Linked DNA regions of Macaca mulatta. The protein of the gene in region 4 interacts with the protein of the main gene of each other region in a biochemical or structural test. Links are inferred from orthologs where the notes say so. Each region holds a gene or a part of one and is shown on either strand. Other genes may lie near its edges. The genes, in order: DPF2, BCL3, ELF1, NFKB1 and MAP3K8.

Evidence for each region.
Region 1: the proteins of NFKB1 (region 4) and DPF2 form a complex in vitro, tested with the Homo sapiens proteins (2 studies listed by BioGRID). The link is inferred for Macaca mulatta from reciprocal best matches to the Homo sapiens genes NFKB1 and DPF2.
Region 2: the proteins of NFKB1 (region 4) and BCL3 form a complex in vitro, tested with the Homo sapiens proteins (2 studies listed by BioGRID). The link is inferred for Macaca mulatta from reciprocal best matches to the Homo sapiens genes NFKB1 and BCL3.
Region 3: the proteins of NFKB1 (region 4) and ELF1 form a complex in vitro, tested with the Homo sapiens proteins (2 studies listed by BioGRID). The link is inferred for Macaca mulatta from reciprocal best matches to the Homo sapiens genes NFKB1 and ELF1.
Region 5: the proteins of NFKB1 (region 4) and MAP3K8 form a complex in vitro, tested with the Homo sapiens proteins (2 studies listed by BioGRID and IntAct, with this or other methods). The link is inferred for Macaca mulatta from reciprocal best matches to the Homo sapiens genes NFKB1 and MAP3K8.

What each region holds. Positions count from the first base shown.
Region 1 is NC_133419.1:9,048,566-9,053,886, forward strand, and holds the end of DPF2 (zinc finger protein ubi-d4), read right to left. Parts: coding exon 5,256-5,321; intron 2,739-5,255; coding exon 2,544-2,738; 3' UTR 1,422-2,543; downstream 1-1,421. UniProt on the Homo sapiens protein: Plays an active role in transcriptional regulation by binding modified histones H3 and H4. Is a negative regulator of myeloid differentiation of hematopoietic progenitor cells. Might also have a role in the development and maturation of lymphoid cells.
Region 2 is NC_133424.1:57,227,593-57,234,202, forward strand, and holds the start of BCL3 (B-cell lymphoma 3 protein), read left to right. Parts: upstream 1-2,654; 5' UTR 2,655-2,690; intron 2,691-3,017; 5' UTR 3,018-3,117; intron 3,118-3,683; 5' UTR 3,684-3,749; intron 3,750-6,271; 5' UTR 6,272-6,436; intron 6,437-6,610. UniProt on the Homo sapiens protein: Contributes to the regulation of transcriptional activation of NF-kappa-B target genes. In the cytoplasm, inhibits the nuclear translocation of the NF-kappa-B p50 subunit.
Region 3 is NC_133422.1:20,379,372-20,385,208, forward strand, and holds part of ELF1 (ETS-related transcription factor Elf-1), read right to left. Parts: intron 2,608-5,837; coding exon 2,524-2,607; intron 1,809-2,523; coding exon 1,616-1,808; intron 75-1,615; coding exon 1-74.
Region 4 is NC_133410.1:111,965,781-111,971,617, forward strand, and holds part of NFKB1 (nuclear factor NF-kappa-B p105 subunit), read left to right. Parts: intron 1-2,138; coding exon 2,139-2,340; intron 2,341-2,800; coding exon 2,801-2,970; intron 2,971-3,298; coding exon 3,299-3,401; intron 3,402-5,837.
Region 5 is NC_133414.1:31,775,732-31,782,277, reverse strand, and holds the start of MAP3K8 (mitogen-activated protein kinase kinase kinase 8), read right to left. Parts: upstream 3,543-6,546; 5' UTR 2,797-3,542; intron 2,539-2,796; exon of another isoform or gene 2,427-2,538; intron 1-2,426.

The DNA.
Region 1 (5,321 bases), on a different chromosome or scaffold from region 4:
GGCCGGATCTCAGCTCACTGCAAGCTCCGCCTCCCGGGTTCACGCCATTCTCCTGCCTCAGCCTCCCGAGTAGCTGGGACTACAGGCGCCCGCCACTTCGCCTGGCTAGTTTTTTGTATTTTTTTGGTAAAGACAGGGTTTCACCGTGTTAGCCAGGATGGTCTCGATCTCCTGACCTCGTGATCCACCTGTCTCGGCCTCCCAAAGTGCTGGGATTACAGGCTTGAGCCACCGCGCCCGGCCGCTACCTCAGTTTTAAGACTTGTGTAGTTTCACGAAAAAACACAAAATAATTGTTCCTTAAGAAAAACAATTGGTTCATTCTTTGTTTATTAATATTTACTATGGCTGAATTCTTCTAATTTTTTTGAATAAAATTAGTCCTTAATGCCTTGAAATGATAAGCAAAATTATACATATGTGCATGTGGACATTATTCTAGGGGAAAGGATCCACAGCTTTTATCAGCTCTTCAGAAACATGTGACTCAAAAATGTAAGTCCTTTCTAACCCAAAGGTCAATAAGGTTGGCAAACTTTTCTGTAAAGAGCCAGAGTGTTACATATTTTAGCGTTTGTGAGCCACATACAGTCTCATGCACATCTTTTTTTTTTTTTAATTCCCTTTATTATTTTTTGTCAAAACAAGAGTTTCCGCTCTGTTGCTCAGGCTGGAGTGCAGTAGCATGATCTCAGCTTACTCCAACCTCTGCCTCCCAGGTTCAAGCAATTCTCCTGCCTCAGCCTCTCTAGTAGCTGAGATTACAAGTGCACAGCACCACGCCCAGCTAATTTCTGTATTTTTAGTAAAGACAGGGTTTTGCCATCCTGCCCAGGCTGGTCTTGAACTCCTGGGCTCAATAGATCCCAAAGTGCTGGGATTACAGAGGTGAGCCACAGCACCCAGCCAGTTTTTAATTTTTTTTTTTTTTTTTTTTTTTTTTTTGAGACAGAGTCTCGCTCTGTCGCCCGGGCTGGAGTGCAGTGGCTGGATCTCAGTTTATTGCAAGCTCCGCCTCCCGGGTTTACACCATTCTCCTGCCTCAGCCTCCCGAGTAGCTGGGACTACAGGCGCCCGCCACCTTGCCTGGCTAGTTTTTTGTATTTTTTTGGTAGAGACAGGGTTTCACCGTGTTAGCCAGGATGGTCTCCATCTCCTGACCTCGTGATCCGCCTGTCTCGGCCTCCCAAAGTGCTGGGATTACAGGCTTGAGCCACCGCGCCCGGCCCAGTTTTTACATTTTAAGGGCATTTTTTTTTTTCAGGCTAGGCGCAGTGGTTCATACCTGTAGTCCCAGCACTTTCGGAGGCTGAGGCGGGCAGATCACTTGAGCCCGGGAGTTCGAGACCAGCCTGGGCACCATGGCAAAACACTGTCTCTACTAAAAATACAAAAATTAGCCGGGTGTGGTGGCATGCCTGTAGTCCCAGCTACTCAGGAGGCTGAGGTGGGAGGATTACCAGATTACCTGAGCCCAGGGGAGTGGAGGTTGCAGTGAGCTGAGATCATGCCACTCCACTCCAACATGGGCAACAGAGCAAGACACTGTCTCAAAAAATAAAAATTAAAAAGAAAGAAAAGGAAAGAAAAGAAATAGCTTGCAAGCTGTTTAAGCTGGCTGTGGCTGGATGTGGCCCATAGGTTGTAGCTTGTAGCTTGTTGACCCTGACTTAGAACCTAGAACATCTGATACTTCCAGGGGTTGCCCCTCAGCTGCCTTAACACTCCAGTGAGGACGCTCGGGCCCGCAGCTCTCCACCACCTCAATGTCCCACGGAACTTTAATAGGAAAGCCATTTTGTAATATAGATAGTCTGTATGATGGTTAAAAACAAAACATAAACACGCGACTTCTCCCCAAAGCAGATTCATAAACTGGGCCTGACAGAAGCTGAGTACTCCCCTGCAGCTGTTAAAGGACTCTCAGACTTTGTCAGTGGCCTCATTCTCTAGAGGGGTGACAGCAGTTTGACCAATATGTTACAAGTCAGCTTACATCACACAATGAAACACTTTCTCTTGCCTGTAATGCTGGCCCACATCCTTTGTGCACAGTAACAGCTCCTGGGCATTTGTGTTCTGAGTAAGCTCCTGAATTTCTGTACAGGAGGAGTTTATGCACAGAAATCCAGCTGGAAGGGGACTTGTGGAGATGCAACCAATTCTTGGTGCCACCACTGGTTTCAGTGAATAGCTTCCATAAACTTGGACCATTATTACTGTAAGTTATGGGAGAATTCAGGCTCCAAAGTCAAGTCCCTTCCCAATTCAGAAGGGGAAGGGATAGGAAATAAATGCTCAAATCCATCAAATTTCAAGAGTTGACTGTAGAAGCTTCACATCAGATAATCTACCACTTGAGTTTCCATGACTGGTTGGAAGAAAATAAATCATTCCTTCTGGGTGACTGATCTCGGCTCAGCATCTGCTTTCTTCTGGGCTGTGGATTTTCTGTTGTAAATGTAGCTGATAATGTGCAAACACTAAACCCTTTAAGTTGAAATGTTAGGAAGGCATTCTAAACTGAGCCAAGGCAAGGGGCTTTACTCACTAAGTTGGAAGAATATGTAAGTGATAACATAAAGAACATAGAACTCAGTATTTTCCAAGTAACTAATAAAATAATTGTTCTGAGTAAAAGATCTGGGCAACTTACCTTCAGGGGGCTCAGACATGGACGGGGTGAGACAGTACATGTGGTAGCCACGATCGCAGTCATCACAGAAGAGCAGCTGGTCCTGAAGTAGGCAAGAGGGAAGAGGATGGGGATTGAATGACTGATGTGCCTCAGGCCACTACAGGAAGTGGGAGGGCTTCTGTGACATGGCTATTTCCAAGAGGGGTAGGTAGCAGGTAAGAACAGATGCAGGAATCTTATGTAGGAACCACGCTGTCCCTCTCTACCGCAGATCCAGTCACTGTCATCTCTCACTTGAGTCCTTTCAGAGCTCCTAATCGATCAAATCGCCTCCAGTTTTTTTTTTTTTTTTCCTAAAGCCCAAGCTCTATAGGTATATTTTTTTGAGACAGGGTATTGCTGTCACTCAGGCTGGAGTGCAGTGGTGCAATCACAGCTCACTGCAGCCTTGACCTCCTGGGCCCAAGTGATCCTCCTACCTCAGCCTCAAGTAGCTGGGACTATAGGCACACACAACCACACCAGCTAAGTTTTGAATTTTTCTGGAGAGACAAGGTCTCCTTATGTTGCCCAGGCTGGTCCTCAATTCCCAGGCTCAAGCAATCCTCCCACCTCAGCCTCCCAAAGTGCTTGGATTACAGGTGTGAGACGCCGTGCCCAGTGACTATTTCTTTTTGAGAAAAGGTCTCGCTTTGTTGCCCAGGCTGGAGTGTGGCGGTGTGATCGTGGCTCACTGCAGCCTCAAACTCCTGGGTTCAAGCGATCCTCCCACCTCAGCCTGCCAAGCAGCTGGGGTTAACATGTGTGCCACCACACCTCACTAAGTTTTAATTTTTTTTGTGGAGACAGGGTCTCCCTATGTTGCTCAGGCTGGTTCTGAATTCCTGGGCTCAAGTGATCCTCCCGCTTCAGCCTCTCAAGTGTTAGGATTATATGCATAAGCCTCCATCCTTGTCCCTACAGTCTACCCTCCACACAGCAGCCAAAGTCTTCTTTTAAAAATATAAGACAAGGGCCAAGCGCGGTGGCTCACGCCTGTAATACCACCATCTTGGGAGGCTGAGGCAGGTAGATCACCTGAGGTCAGGAGTTCGAGACGAGCTTGGCCAACATGGTGAAACCCGGTCTCTACTAAAAATTAGCCAGGCGTGGTGGCGAGCGCCTGTAATCCCAGCTACTTGAGAGGCTGAGACAGGAGAATTGCTTGAACCTGGAGGCAGAGGTTGCAGTGAGCCGAGATTGTGTCACTGCATTCCAGCCTGGGTGACAACAGTAAAACTCCATCTTGAAATAAATAAATAAATATAAAATAAAATATAAGACAATGCCAAACATGGTGGGTTCACGCCTGTAATCCCAGCACTTTGAGAGGCCAAGGTGGGAGGATTGCTTGAGCTCAGGAGTTTGAGACCAGCTCAGCAATATGGCAAGACCCTGTCTCTATCAAAAATATAAAAAAAAGAAGCCAGGCATGGTGGTGTGCATCTATGGTCCCAGCTACCTGGGAGGCTGAGGTGGAAGGATTGGATTGCTTGAGCCTAAAGGGAGAGGTGGTAGTGAGCTAAGATTGCATCGCTGCACTCCAGCCTGGGTGACAGAGAGACTCTGTCTCAAAATAAAAAAATAAATACATAAAGAATAAATAAACAGCCGGGTGCGGTGGTTCACACCTATAATCCCAGGACTTTGGGAGGCTGAGGCAGGCGGATCACCGGACGTCAGGAGTTCAATACCAGCCTGGCCAACATGGAGAAACCCCATCTCTACTAAAAATACAAAATTAGTCAGATGTGGTGGCACGTGTCTGTAATCCCAGCTACTTGGGAGGCTGAGGCAGGAGAATCGCTTGAACCTGGAAGGCAGAGGTTGCAGTGAGCCGAGATCGTGCCACTGTACTCCAGCCTGGGCGACACAGCAAGACTCCGTCTCAAAAAAATAAATAAATAAAATAAATAAATACATACATAAATAACCATGTCACTTCCCTGATTAAAACCCTTTGACAGTGTCCTATTGTACCTAGAATAAAATCCAAGGCCCCACAGATCTGGCAGTGCTTGCCTCTCTCATCTCATCCCCCGCCATCCTCTCCCATGCCCTATCATTTGGCTTGTCCACTATAAGGCCTTGGCACTGGCTGCTCCTTTCCTGGGACTGCTCTACCTCCAAATCTGCTTGACTGGCTCCTTGGTATCACAAAATTTCAACACCAGCATCCCCCTCCCAGAAGAGCCAAACCTCACCATCAAAATAAATCACTTATGCAATTATTCTCTGCCACATTACTGGTTTCATTTTTTTCATGGCACATTATACAAATCTCACATCCTTGCTTATTGTTGTTCCTGTAAGAATGTAAATCTCATGCGGCAGGGACCTTGTTTGTCTTTAGTATCTTTAGTGCCTAGAACAGTGTCTGACATAAAATCAGCACTCAATATATATATTATCTGGCAACAAATCAGAGTTCTGACTGAGATGCTAGGGAGGGGCATGTGGCATGTAGGAGGGATCTTGCTCCCTTTTTAAAAAAAGAAAGCTCACTTTAGAGGGAACTGTGCAAACAGCAGTAAAAGCCCAGAAGGAGCCATGCTGAGGAGGGGGCGGGGATACACACGTCATTCTCAGAGGTGCCGCAGATGTTGCAACATTTGCACTCGATGCACTGCCAGCGGTACGTCTT
Region 2 (6,610 bases), on a different chromosome or scaffold from region 4:
TTTTTTTTTTTTTAAGATGGAGCCTTGCTCTGTCACCCAGGCTGCAGTGCAGTGGCTCACTACAACGCCCTGCCTCCGGGGTTTAAGTGATTCTCCTGCCTCAGCCTCCCCAGTAGCTGGGATTATAGGCATGTGCCAACACACCCAGCTAATTTTGTTGTTGTTTTGTTTTGTTTTTTGAGACAGAGTTTCGCTCTTGTCTCCCAGACTGGAGTGCAATGGCACCATCTTAGCTTGCTGCAACCTCTGCCTCCTGGGTTCAAGTGATTCTCCTGCCTCAGGCTCCTGAGTAGCTGGGATTATAGGTGCACACTACCACGCCAAGCTAATTTTTGTATTTTTAGTAGAGACGGGGTTTTGCCATGTTGGCCAGGCTGGTCTAGAACTCCTGACCTCAGGTGATCCACCCGCCTCGGCCTCCCAAAGTGCTAGGATTACAGGTGTGAGCCATCATACCTAGCCCTGATTCAGATTCTAACAGGATCCCTCTGGCCATCAGGTAGAAAGAGACTGTTGGGGGCAGAATTGTGCTGCAAGGGATGAAAAGAGTTAGGGGTCTCCAAGCTTTGAGCCTGAGCCACTGCAAAGATGAAGCTGCCATTTCTGAGGCCAGAGCCTGCAGGCAGGGCTGGGTTGGAGGTCGGAATGAAGATATGCCTTGTTTAAGGCCAATGAGCAGGGAGCCTCACCCGAGGCACACAGGCTCCAGGCGGGAAGTTGGCGACGAGTTGTGGACTGTGGTTTTCACCCGCCTCGTGGGGCCCCCTCATCCTCTCCCCGAACTTCCCCTCACGACCTGGTGGAGCCAGCTTTGTTTGTTTCCCTCCCATCATCCGTTTCATGATGGGGAAGGCTGGTTTTCCCCTAACCCAGCAGACACCTCTTCCCTCAGCCTGTCCCTGACCCTCCCACCTCGGGAAGCCCCAGGCGGGCCTCCCAGAATGTCCCGGCAGGATGGGGCTACTGCTACCATTCATCCAGCCAGATGAACCCCAAAAGGGGAAGTGGGTCACCCACAGTCACCCGGCCCATGGTCAGCTGGGGACTTCAGGATCTCATCTCTTCACTGCCCCACCGCAGCGCTGGGAGGCTTTCCATGCACGCTTCTCATCCTCCCCACATTTCACACGAGAAAGCAGGGGCTCCAAGAGAAGCCCACACTCACCTAAGGATCTCCAAAGATGGGGGTGTCTGGATTTGAACTTAGGTCCTGGCAGATGTTGTAAGCTCAGAGGAGAAGGCAGAGAGGGTGAACAGAACCCAGCCCTGCCCTCCCAGATCCAGTGGGAAGGCAGACTTGTCCCCAGGTAATAATGACTCAGTAGAATTCACAGCCTGGGATGGAGGAGCCCAGGAGGCTGCAGGAGCTCAGAGCAGGTGCCTGACCCAGACTGGGGTCAAGGAGGGCTTCCTGGAGGAAGGGACAGCTCATCTGATACCTAGAGGATGAATGGGGGTTACTAGGTATAAATAGTGCAGGGAGAGGGAAGAGTATGTACAAAAGCCCAGGGTTGAGAGGGAACCTAGGGGCTTCCAGCAAGGCACAGTGGCTCACACCTGTAATCCCAGCACTCTGGAAGGCTGAGGTGGGTGAATCATCTGAGGTCAAGAGTTCAAGACCAGCCTGGCCAACATGGTGAAACCCTGTCTCTACTAAAATACAAAAATTAGCCAGGCGTGGTGGCCTGCACCCACAATCCCAGCTACTCGGGAGGCTGAGGCACGAGAATTGCCTGAACTTGGGAGGTGGAGGTTGCAGTGAGCCGAGATCACACCACTGCACTCCAGCCTGGGCAACGAAGTGAGATTCCATCTTTCTCTCAAAAAAAAAAAAAAAGTGGGAACCCAGGGGCTTCTAAATCCAACCATGTCCTGGCCCTGATTAAAATCTCCTACGACTGCCCTGGCAAACTCTTTAGTTTGGCATTCATTCATTCATTCAATAAACATTCCCTGGAGTGCATTGTCAGTGTCAGGCCCCAGGGGAACACAGCAGTGACCACGACAGCCCCACCAGACCGTGACCCTGACCAGGGAGCTCACGAGTGCAGAGACATCTACTCCAAGACCTGAAGGAGGAGTAGGAGAGATGCTGGGGAAGAGGCAGGGAAGGGTGCTCCTGGCAGAGGGAACAGCCTGTGCGAAGGCCTGAAGGTAAGTTTTGCATATGACACCTTTGAGAAACTACTCATTGTTCAACTGAAGCAGAGGCTTGTTCAGAAGAAGTCAGCCTTGTGGCCGGGTGTAGACTTCCTCCCAGGGCACCGGGGAGCCACCGTGGAGTTGTGAGCAAGGGAGAGACAGGGGTAGGCTTGTACTTCCCAGAGACTCCCCCAGCTGCCATGTGCAGGGTGAATGGAGTGACGCATAGAACCCAGTTTCAGGGGGTAGTTTGGGACTTGGACCCAGGTCCCAGGGAGAGAGTCCAAGGAGCCCTTCTCTGGTCTTCCAAGGCGCCGCTCTCCCCAAGTTCCAGATGGAAGGCGTGCCCATGGCAACCGCTAGGTGGTGCCCGTACACCACCAGCCAGGTCTTTGTTTGCCAAAAGTAGATCAGGCCCAGAGCTGGACAGAACTGCCCCGGGATCAGGAGAGCAAATCCTCTCTGTCTTTAGGTCCTGGCTCCCTGGCCAGGCATCCTGGGCCCATTTGACTCCCGGGCTCAGGAAGGAGCTGGCTGAGCTGCAGCGAGTATGTTCTTTGTCTCTTTCCTTACCTTGGAATCTCAGACTGAAGCCACGTCTCTTTCCTCACTTTGGAATCTCAGACTGGAGCACCCTGGCTCCCACTTCAGACAGGGGGATTCTTACCTCCCTCATCAGACTAGCAGACTCCTTGTCTCCCTACCAGTTTGAGGAGTTCCCCATTTCTATCATTCATTTGGAAGCTCATCAGCTCTCCCAGAAGGCATGGGAGCCCTTCAACACCCCCATCAGACTAGGACTACCCATCTCCCCCATCAGATTAGAAATGCATTGTCTCACACATCATAATGTTGCTCCTTACCTTCCCTGACAGACTGGAAATACAGACTGGACACTCGTTCTTGCTGCAGGGGGCTGGAGCTTCTTATCTGCTTCACTGGATTTGGACAATCCTGTCTCCCTCATGGGATTTGGTGAGAGCTCCTTAGTTTACTTATTTTTCTCACTGTGCTGGGCCACCTTGTCCCCCACCATCAGATTGGGGAACACCTTGTCTCCCAGTCAGACCAGAGGGTTGGACTCCTCCGCCCTTGCAAAGGTTCCTGAGTCCTTCTTACATCCATAGAAGGAACCATGCCTATTTTTCCAAGAGGGAAACTGAGGCACAGAGAAGCAAATACCACTTCTCTGTCGAGCTGCAGATGCCTCCCCCTCCTCCTCCGCCGGCTGCTCTGCCCCCACCCTCTCCCGCCCCCGCCCCTGCCCTGGGTAACTCCCCTGGCACCGGGAGTAGGGGAATTTTGCCCTGCTGGCCTCTGCACCAACCACCTCCCCTTATCGGCAGCGTCGCCAGCCACCGGTGGCAGCCCAGGGTTAAAGTCCGGAGACAGCTCGGGCGCAAAGCGGATAGGGAGGGAGGAGTGGCGCCCAACCCAGAACGGGGACTCCCCGGAGGTCGAGCTCTCACGCTGCTGGGAGCAGAGGGGATGGGCAGGACCGTGTCCCGTGGTAAGGTGTGGGTTCAATTCTTCTTTTCTAGTGTGGTCTTGAACCTGGAACTTCACCCCCACTGGGAGCCTCAGCTTCTCCAGCTTTAAGGAGTCAGGTGTGTGAAAACGCCCCAGCTCTGGAGTCAGACTCCAGGCGTTTGAATGCTGGCTCCTATAACCTGCTGTGTGAGATCTGGGGCCATCGAGCGCGTCTCTCTCAGCCTCAGTTTCCCCAGTTGTGCAATGAGGATCCCTACTGGGTGGTGGTGAAGGCTCCATGAGTTCACGCACAAGAAAACCTTGGGACAGTGGCTGATAGTGGCGTCAGCAAGCCAGCATGCACCCCACCCTTTCCTTCCAAGAAAATTGCCTCCTAAATCTATGGTTGGTAACCTTCACCCCTCCCTCTTTGACCCACCTCCTAACCCAGGCCACCTGGTGTCTTGCTACACAGCTGGTCTCCCTGCCCGCACCACAGTCAGAGGCGTCTTTGGAAACCCAATCCTGACCCCTGCTCAGAATCTGCCATGGCTCTCCAGTGCCCCCAGGAGAAAACCAAGTGCTGTACCACAGCCACAGCCTGACCACTCGCTGCCTGTATTTTCTTTCTCTTTCTTGCTTTCTCTTTTTTTTTTTTTTAAAGACAGGGTCTTGCTCTGGCCCCAGGCTGGAGTGCAGTGGCGCCGTCATAGCTCACTGCAGCCTCAACCTCCTGGGCTCAAGTGATCCTCCCACCTCAGCCTCCTGAGTAGCTGAGACTACAGGCACATGCCACCACACCTGGGTAAATTTTTTAATTTTTTTTTTTTTAGAGATAGGGTCTCACTCATTGCCCAGGCTGGTCTTAAACTCCTGGGCTCAAGCCATCCTCTCACCTCAGCTTCCCAAAATGCTGGGACTACAGGTATGCACCACTGCGCCCAGCCTCCTTTCTGGTTTCCTAATAAAGCCTTTTGTTCACCTCCTTCAAACACTTCCCCGCACTCTTCAGGTCTCAGCTCAAACAGGGCAGGCCCGGTCCCCTTGGTCCTCTCTGTCCTCCCTCTCCTGGTTCCCTGTACCTCTCCAAAAGCCCCCATCACCGAAAGAAGTAAAGATGTGGGGCCGGGCGTGGTGGCCCACACCTGTAATTCCCAGCACTCTGGGAGGCTGAGGTAAGTGGATCACCTGAGGTCACAAGAATTGATTGAACCCCAGAGGCAGACGTTGCAGTGAGCTGAGATTGCGCCACTGGACTCCAGCCTGGGCGACGGACAGACTCCATCTCAAAAAAAAAAAAAAAAATTGGCCGGGCATGGTGGCTTATGCCTGTAATCCCAGCACTCTGGGAGGCCAAGGCAGGCAGATCACTTGAGCCCAGGAGTTCGAGACCAGCCTGGGCAACATGGTGAAAATCCCATCTCTGCAAAAAATACAAAAATTAGCTGGGCATGGTGGTGTCTCTACTAAAGAATACAAAAATTAGCTGGGTGTGGTGGAATGCACCTGTAATCCCAGCTACTCAGGAGGCTAAGGCATGAGAATCACTTGAATCCGGGAGGTGGAGACTGCAGTGAGTCAAGATCACGCGACTGCACTCCAGCCTGTGTGACAATGCAAGATTCTCTCTTAAAAAAAAAAAAGTCCCCACTCTGGTCCAGCCACCATCACGGACGGCCTGGACCATGCAGTCACCTCCTCACGGGTCTCCCTGCCTGGGTCCTTGCCGCGTGCCCGAAGGGACCTGTCTTTCCCCTACATGCAGCCACAGGGATCCTGTTAACACCTAAGTCATCAGGAGGCTGAGGTGGGAGGATTGCTTGAGTCCAGGAGGTCGAGGCTGCAGTGAGCCAAGATGGCACCACTGTACTCCAGGCTGGGCAACAGAGTAAGACCCTGTCTCTAAACAATAATAATAACAACAAATTAAATTAAATTGAAACCTGGCCTGGGCGTGGTGGCTCATGCCTGTAATTCCAGCACTTTGGGAGGCCGAGGCAGGTAGATCACCTGAGGTCAGGAGTTGGCCAACATGGTACGTGGCCAACATGGCGAAACCCTGTCTCTACTTTAAAAATATAAAAGTTAGCTGGGCGTGGTGGCGCATGCCTGTAATTCCAGCTACTCAGGAGGCTGAGGCAGGAGAATCGCTTGAACCTGGGAGGCGGAGGTTGCAGTGAGCCGAGATAGCGTCACTGCACTCCAGTCTGGGCAACAGAGTGAGATTCCATCTTAAAAAAAAAAAAAAAAAAAAAGTCAGATTATCCCTCCCCTGCCCAGAACCCTCCATGGCTCCCATCTCCCTCTGAGTAAAAGCCTACGTCCCTACAGTGGCTCATAAGATCCTGATCCATCTCCTTGCCACCATCTCCCCCGCCATCCTCCCTTCCACTCTCCCCCAGCTCATTCTGCTCCAGCTACACTGGCCTCAAAGAGCCGTTCCGACCCACCTCTGGGCCTTGGCACTTGCTGTTCCCTCTGCCTAGAACACGCTTCCCCCAGATGTCCACATGGTTCATTCCCTCCCCTCCCTCAAGTCTTAGCCCCAAACGTCATTCCTTGGAGGGCCTCCCTTGGCCGCTGGATTTAAATAACAGCTTCGACTTCCTACCCTCCATCTCCCTCATTCCCTCACCAGCTTTATTTTTCTCCATAGCAGATACCTGCCATTGGCTGTATTTTCCTTGTCTTGTTGACTGTCTCCTGGATGGATGGAAGAGTCTGTGACTCCCCAAGGGCAGGAATCTTATTTGGTCAACACCGGGGCATGGCCTGAAAAACCTGTTAGCAGAGTGAATGAATCGGATGTGTTTGTTTTGAAAAGGTAAGGCGTTCACAAGTTCCAAAATTCAAAAAGGACCAAATGGCAGTGAGCAGTCGCTTCCCTACTACGACTCTGCCCGTCCCCTCCCCAGTCCCGTTCTCACCTCCCAATTTCTGTTCTTTTTCTTTTTCTTTTCTTTTTTTTTTTTTTTTTTTTTTTTTTTTGAGACAGGGT
Region 3 (5,837 bases), on a different chromosome or scaffold from region 4:
TTGGCATTTCTTTAAACTGATACACCAGGCGCTGACCTTCCACTTTTGCCAGAATACCCCTTTGGTAATAGTACCTATTCAAAGCAGACAATTTCATCAATATTTTATTCAATCAAACATCAATTAAAATATTCAACAAAATCAAATTTCCCTAATCATAAACAAAACTTTAAAGTTGAATCAAACTAATGAGAAAAGAATTTCTAAATAAAGGGCAGTTATTTCATATAAGATAAACATACATTTATGCACAGATAGAGATAAGTTCTTATTACCAACTAAATCTAAAACTAATGCTGATTGGGGGACTGTTGATAGAGTATGTGAAATCTTCTGGTCTTTCATTTTTCTTCCTCTCTCTGCTAATTTATTTACTTATTTATTTAGAGACAGAGTCTTGCTCTGTTGCCCAGGCTGGAGTGCAGTGGCATGATCACAGCTCACTGCAGCCTTGAACTCCTGGCCTTAAGCAATCTTCCCACCTCAGCCTCCCAAGTAGCTGGGACCACAGGCGCATGCTACCACACTCAGCTAATTTTTGCATTTGCAGAGACTGGGTTTTGCCACGTTGCCCAGGCTGGTCTGGAACTCCCAGGCTGAAACGATGCTTCTTTCTCAGCCTCCCAAAATGCTGGGATTATAGAAGCGAGCCACCACACTCGGCCCCTTTCTGACAGCTTGCCAAGATCATCAAAACTACGAAAAGCCTCAATAAATTGTTTCTCCTCCGCAGCTTTCTAGAAATGTTCCTACTAGGCAAACTGTATCAGTTTAAATTTGATTCAGTAAATGTAATTGACTTTTGTGTATAAAACTTAATGATATGCAATAGAAGTGATCCAACTTTTTGTCATCTATTTTAATAAAATCAAGAACCTAAAAAATGTATGTTAAAAAATCCAAAAACTGTAATTAAAGGATTATAGTTTAAGATTGCCAAATTTAATATCTATATCTATCCCCTAAGTCATTCAGATCATTCTTCTTTTCAATAAATCTGTCTCAAATACATGCATATCTTGAAAAATAAATGACAGAGTCACCAAAAAATGAACTAAAAGTGAGCTTAAGAATAAAATGTTACGCTTGTTCAAAGTTCTCATGATGTCTAATAGTACTCTTGAAGCACTAATTTATTCTACCATAATAACTAACATATCATACCTGCAATTCATGTTTGAGAATGCACCCTCTTTTTTTTTTGAGACAGGGTCTCACTCCGGTTGCCCAAGCTGGAGTTCAGTGGTGCAATCTCGATCACTGCAGCCTCAACCTCCCGGGCTCAGGTGATTCTCCCACCTCAGCCTGCCGAATAGGTGGGACCACAGGAGCACATCACCATGTCTGGCTAATTTTTTGTATTTTTTAAGAGAGACAGGGTTTTGCCATGTTGCCCAGGCTGGTCTTAAACTCCTGAACTCAAGCAATCCACCAGCCTCAGCCTCCCAAAGTGTAGGGATTACAGGCATGAGCTACCGCACCCGACTGAAAATGTACCCTCTTATTATGTACTTGCATTACCACTGTTGGTGCTTTGCTGAATTTAAGCTTGATATTTTTTTTTAGGATTCAGGAAATGATATTCTTAACAATAAAATACCAAAACTTCGCATACCTGAGTGCTCTTCCCATGGTCTCATAATTCATGTCAGGTTTGTTTTTGTGCTTCCCCCACAACCTGGACACTGCTTTAGAATCCACCAATTTAAAAATGCCTTTCTCTCGCTGGGTCCACTTGATGTATTTAGGACAAGTAGCCTTGTCCTGGAGCAGTGCCAGTAAAAACTCCCAAAGATAAATTGTGTTTCCTGAAACAAAAACAATTTCTTTCTAAATGACCAAAATTTCATGTAAAAGACCATCATAAAAGACAACTAAAAGTCTTGGAAGTGCCATTCATATTTATACAAAAACATTACATAATTCAGTTAGTATTGGTGACATAATTTAGTTAGTATGGGTGGTATAATGGTCATACTTTTCAGCATCTATAAAGATCTTTTTATTAGTCCCATATAAAATATGTGAACAAAGCAATCTTGTCATAAGATTTGTGATGAATTAGGAGAAAGTACTTTGAGATAATTTTTTTCTGCCTCTTTGTGAACTCTCTCCTTTCAACAGTTGTTCTCTTTAGATTAGAGCCAGCAGGTCAGCCATAACAGTTTTCTTCAAATTTGGGCAACAGTTATAAAAATGCTTGAATTTCAAGACAACATGTTAAAGGGCCTATGAACTGAAAATCTAACCTGGTTAAATTCTTCCAAGAGTCTCATTATTACATGAAAAGAATAGATTATTTGGACAGGTAAGTGAAAATCACTCAAATGAGTTTCTTGGTCTACTTTATTATCAGTTTTCCTTTAAGAATTTGGCAAATGTATCTAATACGCATGTGGCAGCAATAAGATCCATTGCAGTATATCAAGAGAGCTGGTGGTTTCTAGTTGTAACAGGCAGGCGCTATAAAGCAATCTGAGTGTTACTTGACCTATAAGTATTACACGGAAATTACAGTAGTACCCTTTCCATCTTTGTTTTTCTTCTTTACAGATATGTTTGGCGTAGTGGCTGGGGAATCTGGTCGTGGTGGTTTCGTTTTTCTCCCTGAAATAAAAACAGCTCTGCATAAATATTTGCCTTCAAAAGTGACAAAAAATGGACAATTCAGCTATTTGGTCAAGTGCCAAATGTTTTTATACATGGGTCACATATACTGGTCTCTTAAAATGCTGTTTGCTAAAAGGAAAACAACTTTAATAAAACTTGGACATTAATGCAGGTTAAACCATAAACACACTTAGGTAAGAAATGATACCTCTGACACCTCAGTTTATATCTGTAAAAATGAAGTTAATTAAAAATACTATAGCTTGCCTTTGAAGTACCCATACTGGTAGCACTTTCTTAAACTTTCGGAGAATGCTTTTGACATTGGTAGAACATGCGCTCCAAAAATAAGCCACATAGCTCTGTCTGTCTATTGATTATACCAGCTTTTTAAGGTAGGAGAAGTGGATTTTTAGCTTTTTTCTCTATTAAATAATTTCTGTATACAGTTAGTTCTCAAGTATAAGAAACTTCCCAAACTCTAGAAATACAGAAAATATGTGAGGCAAAATTTTGGTGAACCACATAGTTAAATACTATCCTTCTGTGTATTTCTAAAAACATCTCGTTTTTCTGTACCTTTCAATTCACAACAAGCTTAATAGTTATCTTACCCGCCATCAATGTCTAAATAAGTCCATCCCAATAGTCTCAGAGTGGGGTCGATCAACTATTCTAAAGCCCTATTTGTGATCTTCTTTTGCCAAGTATCTAGAACCACGGCCTAGTAGCACCACTGCCTTGTATTTAGATTTAGATCATGATCATGCTGTCTGAACATACTGCCAATCTATAGGTGAGAAACAATGAAGAGTTACTACCTCCTACCCTTGAGGCTGCCACTCTGGTTTGGATTACTGTGGTGAATTCTAAGTAAATACAATATAGGGCAGGACAATAACTTAGAAAAGCAGAATTTTACAGCTAAAAAAAAAATCACAAGGCCAGTGACAATCTATCCCCAGAAACGGAATAGGAAAACGCTTCTGAAGTCATTTGGGTGAATGAGAGGAAGGAAGGAAAGTGTCAAAAAGCCCACTCCTCAGTCTCTAAGATTGCCAAATGTATGCTAGTCAGCCAGGTATCCCGACTTTCATCACCGCAGACGTCTGCAGAGAACCCTTCAGGAGACAGATTCTTCTGGCTGTGTTCATGATAACAAGTATCAGAAGCCAAGACTTCAGTAACTCCCACCTTATTTTATGCTATTAATATATACCAGCTTAAAAAAAATAGATATCGTCTTTATTTCCACTACTTTCCTCCACTAGCTTTAGTCACAACAGATGCTGCCAGTAAAAACTCCCAACCCAGTATCCATCCTCTCCAACATCTTCCTAATCATTCAAGGTGGCAATGTACAAAGCTTCAGACGAATTATATCTTGGTTATAGAATTTTTGGTTGACAATGATTTCTTCTCAGCTCTTTGAAAATGTCTAATTCTTCCAGTCTCTCCTGGGAGCTTCTAAACTGCCAATCTAAAAAAAAAAAAAAATCAGTCCTCTTGAAGTAGTGTAGTTTCTCCCTGGTTTGCTTCTTTTTTTTTTTGGAGCAGGGAGAACTTGAGAGAGGGCTTTGGTGTTCTGCATTTTTACCAACAACGCATTTAGGCCTAGATTTATTGTAGCTGACCCACTCAGGATTTACAATGCTGAGGATTAATGTGATTCTGGAAAATTCTTAGTCACTATCTCTCGAATATTGTCTCTTCCTCACTTTTCATATTCTCTGTTTCTGGAACTTTGATTAAACATGTAGACCTTTTCATTTAGTTCTCCATGTCTGTAACTCTTCCATATTTTTTAATTCACACCAAATCTACTGGAGTTTGCTAATTCTTTCTTAAGCAGTGACTAGTCTATGTTTTAATCCACACATTATGTTTTCAATTTCATTTCATTTTTTTGTTTTTGAGACAGAGTCTCACTGTGTCGCCCAGGCTGGAATGCAGTGGTGCGATCTTGGCTCACTGCAACCTCCGCCTCCTGGGTTCAAGCGATTCTCGTGCCTCAGCCTCCCAAGCAGCTGGGATTACAGGCATGTACCACCATGCCTGGCTAATTTTTTTTTTGTATTGTTAGTAGAGATTGGGTTTCACCATGTTGCTCTCTAATTCCAGACCTCAGGTCATCTGCCCACCTCAGACGCCCAAAGTGCTAGGAATATAGGCATGAGCCACTGAGCATGGCCCAATTTCATTTCTTATTTCTATAAATTCCATTTGGTTCTTTATCATACCAATAGTTTTTCAACATTAAGTAGAATATTAGTCTTTTATTTTTTAAGCAGCTTTGTTGAGGTATAACTGACTTATAATAAACTACATATGTTTGGTGTTTATAATTTGACAAGTTGTGACTATGTATACTAAAACCACCACTACATTCAAAACAATGAATATATTCATCACCCCAAAAGTACTTTGTGCCCTTTTGTAATCCTTACATCTCGCCCTTCCTCACCCTGCCCAATCCACAGGCAACCACTCATCTGTTTCCTGTCATTATAGATTAGTTTGTAGTTTCTAGAGCTTTATATAAATATAAAACTGACCCTCAAACAAAACACAGCTTTGAACTGCACAGGTCCACTTATATAGGAATCTTTTTTCAAGAAAAGTTACATCAAGTGTGCCTGTGTCTCCTGCCTCCCCTTCCACTTGCGCTACTCCTGAGACAGCAAGACCAAACTCTTTTTTTCCTCCTCCCTCCTCAGCCTAGCCAACATAAACACAACAAGCATAAAGACCTTTGGCCAGGCAGGGTGGCTCACACCTGTAATCCCAGCATTGTGGAAGGCCAAACCAGGAGGAATGCTTGAGTCTAGAAGTTTAAGACCAAGCTAGGCAACACAGCGAGACCCATCTCTACAAAAATAAAAATAAAAGGTTAGCTGGGTGTGGTGGGGCTCGCCTGTAGTCTCAGCTATTCAGGAGGCTGAGGTGGGAGGATCACTTGTGCCCAGGAGTTCCAAGTTGCACTGAGCTATGATCTTGCCATTGCACTCCAGCCTGGGTGACAGAGCAAGACCCTGCCTCAAAAAAAAAAAAAAAAAAAAAAAGACCTTTATTGATCCACATCTGCTTAATAAATAGTAAATATATTTTCTCTTCTTAATGATTTTCTTTCTTTCTTTTTTTTTTTTTGAGACGGAGTTTCACTCTTGTTACCCAGACTGGAGTGCAATGGTGCGATCTTGGCTCACCACAACCTCCATCTCCCTGGT
Region 4 (5,837 bases):
CTGCAAGGAAACCAGAGGTATCTTCACCCAGTTTCCCCCAATGGTAACATCCTGCATAACTTCAGAACAGTATCAAAACCTGGAAATTGACATTGGTACAATCCACAGATCTTAATCAGATTTCACCAGTTTTACACACACTTGTGTGTATCTGTATAGTTCTTCGTGCATATATTTTTTTAATACGTAAGTGGCATTATGCTACATGTTACTGTATTTCTGCCTTCGCTGCTTATCCACACAGTTCTGTGTACAGCTAGTTTGTTGTTTCAGCTCCTGAAGAGAATCTAGTATGGATCTTCCACCTCTAACATTCTTGTTTCCTAGTAGTAGACATTTAACCAACTTCCAACTTCCTACCTCAGTAGATAATACTGCAGTGACTCTCCTTATTTATGTCCTCTTGTGGATTTGTGTCAGAATTTTACCTATATACATCTACAAGAGTTGGGTTGCTGGGACATTTGTATATTTGGCTATCCAGAATGTCTGTGTAAGTCCCCATGCCCACAGCCATAGCATGAAGGTGTAATTGTTTAAGATATTATCCTTGGATTTAAGATCTAGAAGCTTTATATCATGGAAAACCATTGATTGGACTGTGGAAGAAAATATTAAAAAAAAAAAAAAAAAAAAAAACCTCAGACTCATTTTCTTAAATTAAATTCAAACTACAGATAATTTCTAATTCCTGAATGGTATACTATCTTACAATTTCAGATCCTTTTTTTCACATTCTCATTCTCTTTCCTTTTCCTGTCTCCCCAAGTAGCATTTCAGAAAACACAGATTAGTAAACAGTTTCTATTGACTTAGTTATTTTTGAGAAGAAGGCTCTTGGCAACAATATCTAAAGTTTTGAGGGCATCACTTCATTTCCGGCCAGGGTGATAGTCCTAGAAAATGAAAGAAATAAGGGCGAGTAATAATTTGGCAAAAAAAAGGGTCTTGGTCTGATATATTAAATAATCACTGTAGTTGAGATTTAGATGACCCTCACATCATTCATCCTGCCAGTTCTCATGTGCTGTGGTCACTTATATAGCTAGGAGGTTGGTGGCTCACCTGCTGCTGTAGCCAGTAACTGCTCAATGAAAAGGGAATTTTAGGCAAATTGTCACAAGACTGGCTGGATGTCATAGTTAGGCTCCTGTGAAATAAACTGATTTGTGTAAAGATACATTGCTGTTCTCTGTCATTGAACTCAGTTCTTTGAAGGATACATTTGTGATTGTATTTGTCTTACTCATTTTTGAAAACACACAGTTTGCAAAACATCTTATTTGCATTCATCGAAGTAATACCTTGTGGGCAGGATAGTCAAATGGACTACTGAAGTACCAATTAGGTATCATTAGCTCACCTTTTTTATTCATCTGAGTCCCCTTGGTGAGATACTTGTATTATCCTGGTTATGTTATTTAGAAGCTTATAATACCTTTTATGAAATAGGTATAGGAAAGCTATATTGAGTAGTCTCAGGAGCCAGTTCATGGGACAGTATTTTTTAATTTAGTAAATTTAGTTTCCATGTCAGCATAGAATCATGGCACTTTTGTTAATTGGTTTCTATTGAGTACTTCATTTAAATTTCTTCAGTGAAAATATAGCCTTATTTTGATTTGTTAATATAAAATCAGCTGAAGATAACTTCTACCAGAAATTTAAGAAAACTAAATTTACTACTAGGTGTGCTCAAAATCAACAATCAGTGGGTTTTAGTGAGAAACAAGAAGTTACTAAGACTTGTAAATATGAAAATAACCCACCACAGAAAAAGTTATATGAAATGATGGATTTGTAACTTAGTCTGATTTAATCATTTTATGTTGTAAACATATTAAAACATCACATTGTACCTCATAAATATATACAATTACTATTTGTCAATTAAATTTAAAATAAATAAAAATTTTAAAACCCGAATTATTGAATGGCTAAGTGTTAGTACAGTGTATGTACTTCATTAGCATATGGTATGGAACAGGATAACTTGGGTGCCAAGGTCAGGAGTTAATCTGGGAATGAGAAATGTTCCTGCAGTATGACCGCACCCATTGCAGTGACAGCTACCAAGCTGTAAGTTGTAAGTAAGTGTTCACTGCTGACTGGTGAATCTCCTGCCCTTCACTTTCCAGACGCCCTTGCACTTGGCAGTGATCACTAAGCAGGAAGATGTGGTGGAGGATTTGCTGAGGGCTGGGGCCGACCTGAGCCTTCTGGACCGCTTGGGTAACTCTGTTTTGCACCTAGCTGCCAAAGAAGGACATGATAAAGTTCTCAGTATCTTACTCAAGCACAAAAAGGCAGCACTACTTCTTGACCACCCCAATGGGGACGGTAAGAGACAATCACACATCATTGGTGTGGGATTAACTTTCTCCGCCTTCTAAATATCTACTAGGTATTTGATAAATGTGTGTTACTTGATTTGTACCCAAAAGTGCTTTCCTTAGTCACCTGGAGTTCATCATCTCTTTTGGGCATTTCTGTTGCTCACCAAAGCTAATTTTTTTAAAGGTGATTTAGAATAGTTAGTAGGAGGAAAAAGCAGAGGCCTAAGTAAAGATTCATCTTGAAGCACACAAAGTGTCGTTTATTCAGAGAATGTTTGTTTATGTTCAGTGTCTCCGGAGAACATAATAGGAGACTGTGGGTCTTCAAAGCAGAACAATCGACTTACAGTACCTTTGCTGTCCCTCCCCATGATTCAGTTTTTGCCATTTCCTTCAGCTTCACCAAGGGCCATCTTGTGAGCCAGCCATCCTATCCTGTGACTGTCCCTTTGCTTGGACTCTAGGTCTGAATGCCATTCATCTAGCCATGATGAGCAATAGCCTGCCATGTTTGCTGCTGCTGGTGGCCGCTGGGGCCGACGTCAATGCTCAGGAGCAAAAGTCCGGGCGCACAGCACTGCACCTGGCTGTGGAGCACGACAACATCTCATTGGCAGGCTGCCTGCTCCTGGAGGTGAAGGGCGCACTTATTTGCTTTTCCATTAAATTCCTGAGGGAGATTTAAGGAAATCTTTTCGAAGAATGAAGTCAGTAGCTGCTGTTCTCCCTTATAATCAACTCTACTTATTTAACACTTATGGAGGGCTTCAGAGTAGCACCTTTGGATGTTCCCCCACTCTCTTGCTTGGCATCTCTAATTGGGGATATCTTCAAAGACAGAGCCAGCCCAAAGTAGTAATTGGGCTAGTAATAGGACCCAAGGGGCCATGCACACTGGGAGGTGGGGACAGAAGGGCAAAAGAACCTTCCACTAACGCTTTCCTGTGTGGGCTGGATTGTAGGGTGATGCCCATGTGGACAGTACTACCTACGATGGAACCACACCCCTGCATATAGCAGCTGGGAGAGGGTCCACCAGGCTGGCAGCTCTTCTCAAAGCAGCAGGTAAGGTGGTGACCTGGCGGTCATTAATAAAAAATGTTACCAGGAATGCAAACCCAACTTCAATAGAGCAGCCATGTTGCCTTCTTTAAGCCACAGACCTACTGCTGAAAAGCAAGGGTAAATAAAAGTTATATGGCAGATCACATTTTATCTGCCATAAGGCACTGTTTGGACTAGTACTCTTGGGCTTTACCCTGACAGTCATGTTAGTTTTTACTTTCTGATTCATCTGTTTGTTTGGGGTTTGATTGTTTAGATTGACTCCCATGACAAGGGGTCTTTCAAAGTAGAGTTTGATTCCTTATGGAATTCTGAGTGGTATCAGTCTCAGATCATATCAGAAGTCCCCAGAAGAAAAAGATTATTGGTAAAAGAAATCATTTAAAGACTTCATTTTGAAAGAAATGTCTCTTAAAAATTGAAGTGTAGGAAAAAGAAAATGGGCCATGTATTAGGACCCATTACGTGGAAGGCACTAAAAATGGCTAGCACTTAGTGACCTTTCCGTGTCCCAGGCACAATGATATGCACTTTATGTGCACAGTCTCATTTAATGCCCAGTCACCACTTGTGACAAATACCGTTATTATTCCCCATCTTAGAGTCAAGGAAGCAGACTAGAGAGACTACCAGATCCCACTTCAGGGTTCCAGTAAGTGTCAGAGCTATGAATCACACTTGGGCAGTGTGAACTTCAAGACTTGATTCTCTCTACTATGTTTCTCTCTCCTATTTTGTTCACAGGTTTGCAGATGTTATTCCATTTAATTCTCTAGTCCTGTGAAGTATAGAAAATTATCCATGTTCATCTTTGAATTTCCAGTGCCTTGCATATTTAGAACCTCAAAATATGTGTAATGAAATTGGCATCTGAAGCCTGCCCTGACAAATCTGATTTACTTTAGAGGTTTTCTTTTAACTTAGAAGGTAAATGCTACATAAATTCAAGAAAACAGAGCAAATTAAAGACAGAGGAATTTTTCTTTGGGAACACCGTATTTTTCTTTTCTCTTTTAACAAAAGAGAGAACAATTTTTAAAAATACCAAAAAAAAGAGGAAAAAAAACTCTAACAAATAGAGCTTTTTCTTGAACAAGAAACTCTGATTGCAGTGGTTATTAATAGTTTTAGAAGACACTGATTATAATTAAATGCCTTCCAAGAAGAAGCTATAACCAGTCAGATGGGTTGGCTCACACCTGTAATCCCAGCACTTTGAGAGGCTGAGGTGGGAGGATCACTTGCACTAGGAGTTTGAGACCAACCTGGGCAACATTGTAAGACCTCATATCTATTAAAAAATTTTTAAAGTAGCTAGGCATGGTGTCACCCGCCTGTAGTCCCAGCTACTTGGGAGGCTGAGGTAGTAGTATCGCTTGAGCCTGGGAGTGCAAGGGCACAGTGAGCTACAGTTTCACCACTGCATTCTAACCTAAGCTATAGAATGAGACCCTGTCTCAAAAAAATACATAAATGAAAAGAAAAGAAAAAGAAACTATAACCCTTTTAAAAATGCTTTATATTGAATTCTCAGAATCCCATGAAAGGAATAGCAAGTAACAGTTTCTCTGATATATAAATGAAGAAACTCAGATGAAAACCAAGCCCGAATCTTAATGTCATGGAAAAGGTCAGTTAAGGCTGAGTGTGGAGGCTCACACCTGTAATCCCAGCACTTTGGGAGGCTGAGGTGGGTGGATCACCTGAGGTTGGGAGTTCGAGACTCATCTGGCCAACATGGTGAAACCCCATCTCTACTAAAAATATAAAAATTAGCCAGGCGTGGTGGCAGGCACCTGTAATCCCAGCTACTTGGAAGGCTGAGGCAGGAGAATCACTTGAGCCCTGGAGGTAGAGGTTGCGGTGAGCCGAGACTGCGCCACTGCACTCACCAAAAAAAAAAAAAAAAACAGTCAGTTAAGGGATAGCTCATCCCTCCAGTCTTTGGTCCTATAAATTGTTCATCTTAATTTCTCCATGGTTTTTTTGGTGGGATTACATTTATTGCCTCATAGATTAGGCCAGAACTGGGAGAGTAAAATCAAGAAATAGCATGAAGATCCTCCTTTGCTTCCCATTAAGTACTCTTCTATTATTGATATTGACACATCTGATGTTCTCCCAGCAAGATAAAAACAAGTTCCTCCCTCGAAAATGGCATCATTAGACATCAAGCTAAACACTCATAAAAATAATCTAAGCCTCTGAGAAGTAACTCTAGCTCTAGTCTTTGAGTTACTTTGGTGTTTCATTTATTTGTTTGTTGTTTTTGTTTTTGCTGGATGCTAAAGAGCAGACTAGATTTCCCAAAATATTTCAATAATTATACATCCTAGCAGGTTTGTTTATTTAAAGATCAGAACCCTGGCACTGCTGTACCCAGCAATGAAACTGGCCATGGTATCACTAGATATCAAGCATCTTTGCTATTTTGAG
Region 5 (6,546 bases), on a different chromosome or scaffold from region 4:
AGTGAGGGGGCAGCTTCCCCTCCCGAGATCTTGTACATCTTTGAGGGAGATTGTGATTCAGGTTCTTGGAGTCTACTGAGTTAGGAAAGGAACTTCTTAGATTAATGGAGGAACATTTGACATCGGTTTTACTGAGCCATCTAGTTGCAGTTTCTGCTTGTCGAATTTACTGGAAACACAGAAGTTAAAACAAAAACAGCCTAATTTGGGGCCTCAGGGGTTGAAAGGATCCAAGTCTCCTGGACTTATTTATCAAATGGATGACTTGACAGAAAAAAAAAAAGTTCTCAGTACTAACACGACTCAAGAAAGAAAGAGGAAAAATGTCCACACAGTTCAAATTCACTCTGCTGATCCGGGAAGACAAATTTTAGAGGTTTTAAAAAAAAAAAAATTAGTAGTAGTATTCTTTTTATTCTTTTATTTTGTTAATTGGGGGGTTTTCCTGTGAGGACTGGAGATTCTAAAAGACAAATCCTAAAAGAGCGGTAATACAAGGTTTTGGTTTTTAAATCCTGCAGAAAGTCTCAAGCATTTATATGTAAAACCCAAGAGCTTAAACACACACAACCACACCCCTAAACTGTGAGTTGCCTGGAAAGGGGAGAGGGAGGGAAGCAGGACCCGGGAGGTGGAGGAGTGTCTGACACTGAGACTTTTCTCAGTGCCTGCATTAATTCCTTAGCAACACAGGGCCCCTGTCACACAAATCTATGCTCCCCAGAAACCCTGCTGACCAGTTCGCCTGCTAACTGCTCCTGCAAAAAGCCTCAGCACTTTCCAGCCTTAAAGAAGCACACAATAAGCTAATGGTTTCTGAGTTATTCATGATCTGTAGCCACCTAGAAAGTTAAGATTGTGAAGGTATTCTAGTTTGCCAATAAAGACGTTTAGTATAAGATGATTTTTCCCTTGACACAATTTACAATAAAAGTCCTCATAAAATTCCTGCTTCCTAACCAAACAGAAAATTATGCCAGCTTTTGGAATTGGAGAGATGTGCAAATACAGTCAAAACTAGTTACACTGAATTATTTCAGAAATCAGCAATAAAATCACGAGGAAATTCTGTTCCTAAACATTAACATAATACTCTTGGCTGCCTCCACATACATAAACAAAATGTGAGTGTTTCCTGGCAAGTGTGAATGAAAATGGCCAACGTACCAGCATATGCTTCTGCCTCACAAAGAATGACTATTCCTTGTGTTATTTCCCATTTAAAATTATTTTTTTTAGGCCGGGAGCAGTGGCTCATGCTGGTAATCTCAGCACTTTGGGAGGCCAAGAAGGGTGGATCACTCGAGGTCAGGAGTTCAAGACCAGCCTGGCCAGCATGGTGAAACCCTGTCTCCACAAAAATTAGCCGGGTATGGCGGCGGGCGCCTGTAATCCCAGCTACTCAGGAGGCTGAGGCAAGAGAATCGCTTGAAGGTGGAGGTGGAGGTTGCAGTGCGCCGAGATCGCGCCATTGCAATCCAGCCTGGGCGACAAGAGTGAAACTCCGTCTCAAAAAAAAAAAAAAAAAAATTGTGTATATATATTTATACTAAGATAGATAGATAGATAGATAGATAGATAGATAGATAGATAGAGATAGATAGATAGATAGATAGATAGATAGATAGATAGATAGATAGATCCTGCCAAAATAGTATATTCTCCCTCAGGGCACATCTCTGATTATGTTTTTGTTCTCAAAAAGCCCCGGAATTATGCGTTTCAGGGGTATAGAAGGAAGGACCGCCACTCTGCTTCAAAACCTCTAGATGCCTCCACGTTCCCATTTTCTTTACACGACAAAGTCCTCATGGGCCATCTGCCAGACGACCTGCACACAAACCTCAATCCTTCGGAGAGAGCTGGGGGCGTCAGCTGGAAGTGGATTACACGTTCCTTGGCACACACGACTCAGGCTACAAGTATGTAAAGCAACTGCAAGAGCCTTTCTGTCCCCGTTTTTATCAAGAGCAGCATTTTATCTTGTCTTCCCCAAAGTGAAATAGACAAGCATCGCAACGTTTCACTCTTAAAGGCAGCGGGTGGCTTCCCCTGTTAACTATGGGGACTATCCCTGGGCGTCCTTCTCCGCCTAGAGCTAGAAAAATTTCAGTCAGTCCTGATCATGCATTATCGCTCGAAAACAACTTCCGTGAAAATAACTTTTTTTTTTCTCCTAGTATTCTTTCTTAGACCAAAAGCCCAGCCTTCGTGTTCTGCTATGACTCCTTTAGTCACGGGATACAGTCCAGGTTACAAACTTGAATTTAGTTCCAGCCATTCACAAGTCTCTGGGCTCCGCCAGCCCACACTCCCACTCCCTTCCTCCTGGTTCTCTAAGTCAAGGGAGCCTAAAAAGCTTGTAAATTATCAAAGCACCCAGCATTTGGGAGGGTCGGGTCCTCCAACCTCCGAGCTGCACTCACCGGGTCTGGGGCAGGGACAGCGCGGCCGTCCAGGCGGTGTCGGCGGCGGGAGGCGCAGTGACAGCGGGTCCCCGCTTCCCCGCGCACTGCCCGGACCAGCACTGCCCGGGCCCTGCGGATCCGGGAAGGAGGAGGAAGGGGGAGGAGTCGCGAGTCTGCACCCCGTGAGACCCTTGCGCAAGGTGCTTTCCAGCTGTGCCTGGTGCGGCCGGCGACCCGCGAGCGCAGCTGTGGGCACGCCCCCACCTCTTCCCACGCCAGAGTTTTCCCCTCTGCTGGGGTCACCCTCCATTTCTGCATGGGAATCCCCGGGGCACCCAGGCGGGACGCGACCCGAAAGACACGCCGGAGACCCCCAACCCTGGGTTACCTGCGGCTTTGGCGCTCCCACGCCGGCCAAGCGCTCCAGCCGCGGACCCCCGAAGGTTCGGTGCGACGCTGGCTGCAGGCCCGTGCGAGCCGGGCACGCCGGGCCACCGGGATCCGGCGGCAGCAGCGGCAGAAACAGGAGCCAGGGCGCCGGACCCCAGAGCGTGGCGCGCAGTCCAGACCCGAGCGGACTAGTGAGCCCCGCGTCGCCCGCACGTCCAGACCGCCGTGCTCTGCCCCTGACTCACGGCGTCTGAGCCGGCCCAGGGGCGGCGCAGCGGACGCCAGCCACCGCCTCCCCGACTTTTCCATTTCCCCTTTCTCTCCGTAAACAGAAAGAGACTGCCTAGCTGCAGGGGAAGCCAGAGCCCCCGCGCTGGGAAATTCCGCGTCCACCCCCCCCTCCTCGCGGTCCCCGCCGCCCCTCGTTTACCCTCTGGGCGCCCAGGCGGAGCTGGAGGCGGGACTAGGGAGGAGCAGAGCGGCACGCGGGGAGGGGCGCAGGACGTGAGCTGCGGCTCGAGTCGGGAGCCTGGGATGTGGACGAGTTTTCCCCCGGGCCTGGTGACCCAAGGCGTCCTGGTGGCGGAGTTGCAAGAGGCAGTTGTGCCCTTTCCCGGTCCCCAGGGAAGGTCGTATATCTTAGTGTACTCGCGCCCTCCGAGTTCTCTGGAGTCCCAGGGTCCGGCGGGAGAGCAAGCTCCCAGGGGGCGGGCAGGGGGGGGGGTGCGGAGCGGTCACCAGGCCATTTGCCGCGCGCCCCGTGCTCTGGGGTGGGGACAGAGGCGCCTCGTGCCCTCCCCGCCGTGCTGCGGGAGGCTGGGGAAGCTTGGGGCTTCTCTGAACCGCCACTGTGGGTCCGATTACTAGCAGCACGGCCCCGCCTCGCCCAGATTTCGCTTCAAGTTCACACACAAAGAGGGCAATGGCTCACGCACACATTCCAGCTTAGAGATTTCCAAGAGGCTGCCTCAGGGTGGGCCCGGAACCTGGGTGTTGGGCGCTCGGCTGGGGGCCTGTGCACTCCGACAGCAGAACCTGGTTTTCTTCTTTGCAGTCTTTATTAAAATTGGTTATTTTGTAGCACCGCCTCATTAGGAAGAGTACCTGTACTGATCTCCCCCCTCCCGCCCACCCCCTCAGTCCTAGCTGCTCATCTGGGGTTTTCCTTCTTGAGTGGCAAGCGTTTACTCCAGGTGTAACCGGAAGAGAGTTCTAGAGAAAAGCGCCACTCTCCCGAAATCCACTCCGCGGGACATTCCCAATACCCCGCCACCCCCTCCCCCTACATTTCCCACGTATCAAGCATCCACTAGGAGCCAGGCATTCGGCTAGAGCGCGGAGAGCTAGGGACCATGTGAGGAGGACATCCTCTTTCTCTGCCCTACGGCCCAGGAGGTGGGGTGTCCCAGGCACAACTCAGATTCAAACGCGGTCACACTTCAAGTCCATGCCCTTTTCTTCACAGTGCCCAGGTACGTGCTCCTGGTGCAGTTTCTAAATTGCCGTGCGCAGTGGCGCACGCCTGTAATCCCAGCGCTTTGGAGGCCGAAGCGGGAGGATCACTGGAGGTTAGGAGTTGGAGACCACCTGGGCAACATAGCTACCCCGTCTCTACAAAAAATAAAAATAAAACTTGGCCAGGCATGGTGGCTCACGCGTGTCATCCCAGCTACTTGGAAGCTGAGGTAGGAGGATCCCTTGAGCCCAGGAGTTCGAGTCTGCTGTGAGCTATGATTGAGCCACAGCACTCCAGCCTGGGCGATAGAGCGAGGCCTTGTCTCAAATTTAAAAAATAAAATAAAACAAAAAAATTTTTTGAGACTGAGTTTCGCTCTTGTTGCCCAGGCTGGGGTACAATGGGGCGATCTCGGCTCACCGCAACCTCCGCCTCCGGGGTTCAAGCGATTCTCCTGCCTCAGCCTCCCGAGTAGCTGGGATTACAGGCATGCGCCACCACACCCGGCTAATTTTGTATTTTTCGTAGAGATGGGTTTCTCCATGTCGGTCAGGCTGGCCTCAAACCCCCGCCCGCCCGCCTCAGCCTCCCAAAGTGCTGAGATTACAGGCGTGAGCCCCCGCGCCTGGCCAAAAATAAAAATTTTTAAAACGATTTGCCTTGGACCTTCTCTAGAGCCCTCCCCATTTCTGCTATGGAAAATGAATTACAATTCCAACCCGAGGATGTACCGAGAGAATTGCCGGAGGAGGTAGGTTAGCTGAGGTGACAAACTAGGGACTTTTTGCAGGACCTTAACTCGCAGACAACAAGCCCAGGTAGCTAATCCAACATCGAGGGCCGATTGACTGGACACTGTCATCCCCGAAGTTATTTTAAATACGAGAGCGATTTAATTTATATTCATTCACCTCATGAAGCAGGGCGTTTGCCATTCCCTCCAAATATCCAGGCAGTCCCTTGCACCTAGAGGAGAACCACTTCCTGAAGCCTCCGCCTTTCTGATCTTGGAGCGAGGGAATTCCACCAACGCGGCAGCATTGACCCGGCAGAAGCAGCCTGGGCCAGGGTTGGGGAGGAGAAGCCCCGCTCGCCTGCGCGCCGGATGGGTGGAATTTGGCATTGGCTCAAGCGGGTTATCCCAGTCTCAGCTGAAGCCGAAGTTATTAGTACACTTTTGGCCTTTTCGCTGGAAACCGGGTTAGCACAGGTTGTTACCTCTGATTGTAACCTGAGAAACTGGGAGACGTCTCTTTCTCTTCTGCGGTGTTTAGACAACAAAGGATGATCTTTACAAGAGTTTTAAAAATAGAACCATGGAACCACTCCCCTCCCCACCCGCCTTGAGTGAGCTCATTAAAACCACACCTAATCTTCTGGGAACGACCTTATTAGCCTTACTTCCTACATAGAAGTCTCCCAAATAGAGCTGCATTTTAGAGAGCTCGTGAAATGGCTGGTCTAGCAGGGTTCTCTCTTGCTTCTGGCTTAAGCCAGAGTAGGTTTCATCTGTTGGGGTGAATTAGAAGGTTTTACTTGAAAATATTTGTAAAGTTTTTAACAAGGTGGCCAAAAGGGAGAGAACAGCTGAAAAGAAATAAAACGTTTGTGGACTTCTTGTATGTATGTATGTATGTATGTATGTATGTATGTATGTATATGTATTTGAGATAGGTTCTGGATCTGTCACCCTGGCTGGAGTGCAGTGGGGCGATCTCAGCTCACTGCAACCTCCACCTTCCTCCTCAAGTGATCCTCCCACCTCAGCCTCCCAGATAGCTGGAACTACAGGTGCATGCCACCACACCCGGCTAATTTTTGTATTTTGGGTAGGGTTAGAGACGGGGTTTTGCCATGTTGCCCAGGCTGGTCTCAAACTTCTGAGCTAAAGCGATCTGCCCGCCTCAGCCTCCCAAAGTGCTGGGATTACAGGCGTGAGCCACCGTGCCTGGACTCCTTGCATTTTTCTTGGTCTGGCTTTTCGTTTTTTATGCAGGCTTACTAAAACAATCCTGCGCTTTTAGGAGCAAGCTAAGTGAGTTTTAAACCTACCAATGAGAAGTCCCTTGAGCCAGAGTGCACACAACCTTAGGGGGTTATTCTGGAAACGATCCTAAAGCACGTTATGAAACAGCTCTCTAGAAGCTGTTAGAAGCAAGCAAAATGCATTTGCAAATGAAGTTGTAACCGATTGCAGTTTACCTGAAGAGGCTTGCTCCAACTCACAGGTTGGGACATTAATGGATTTGTAATTTGTGGTTTGGAAATCCAAATTATTTTACTCACAGAAAC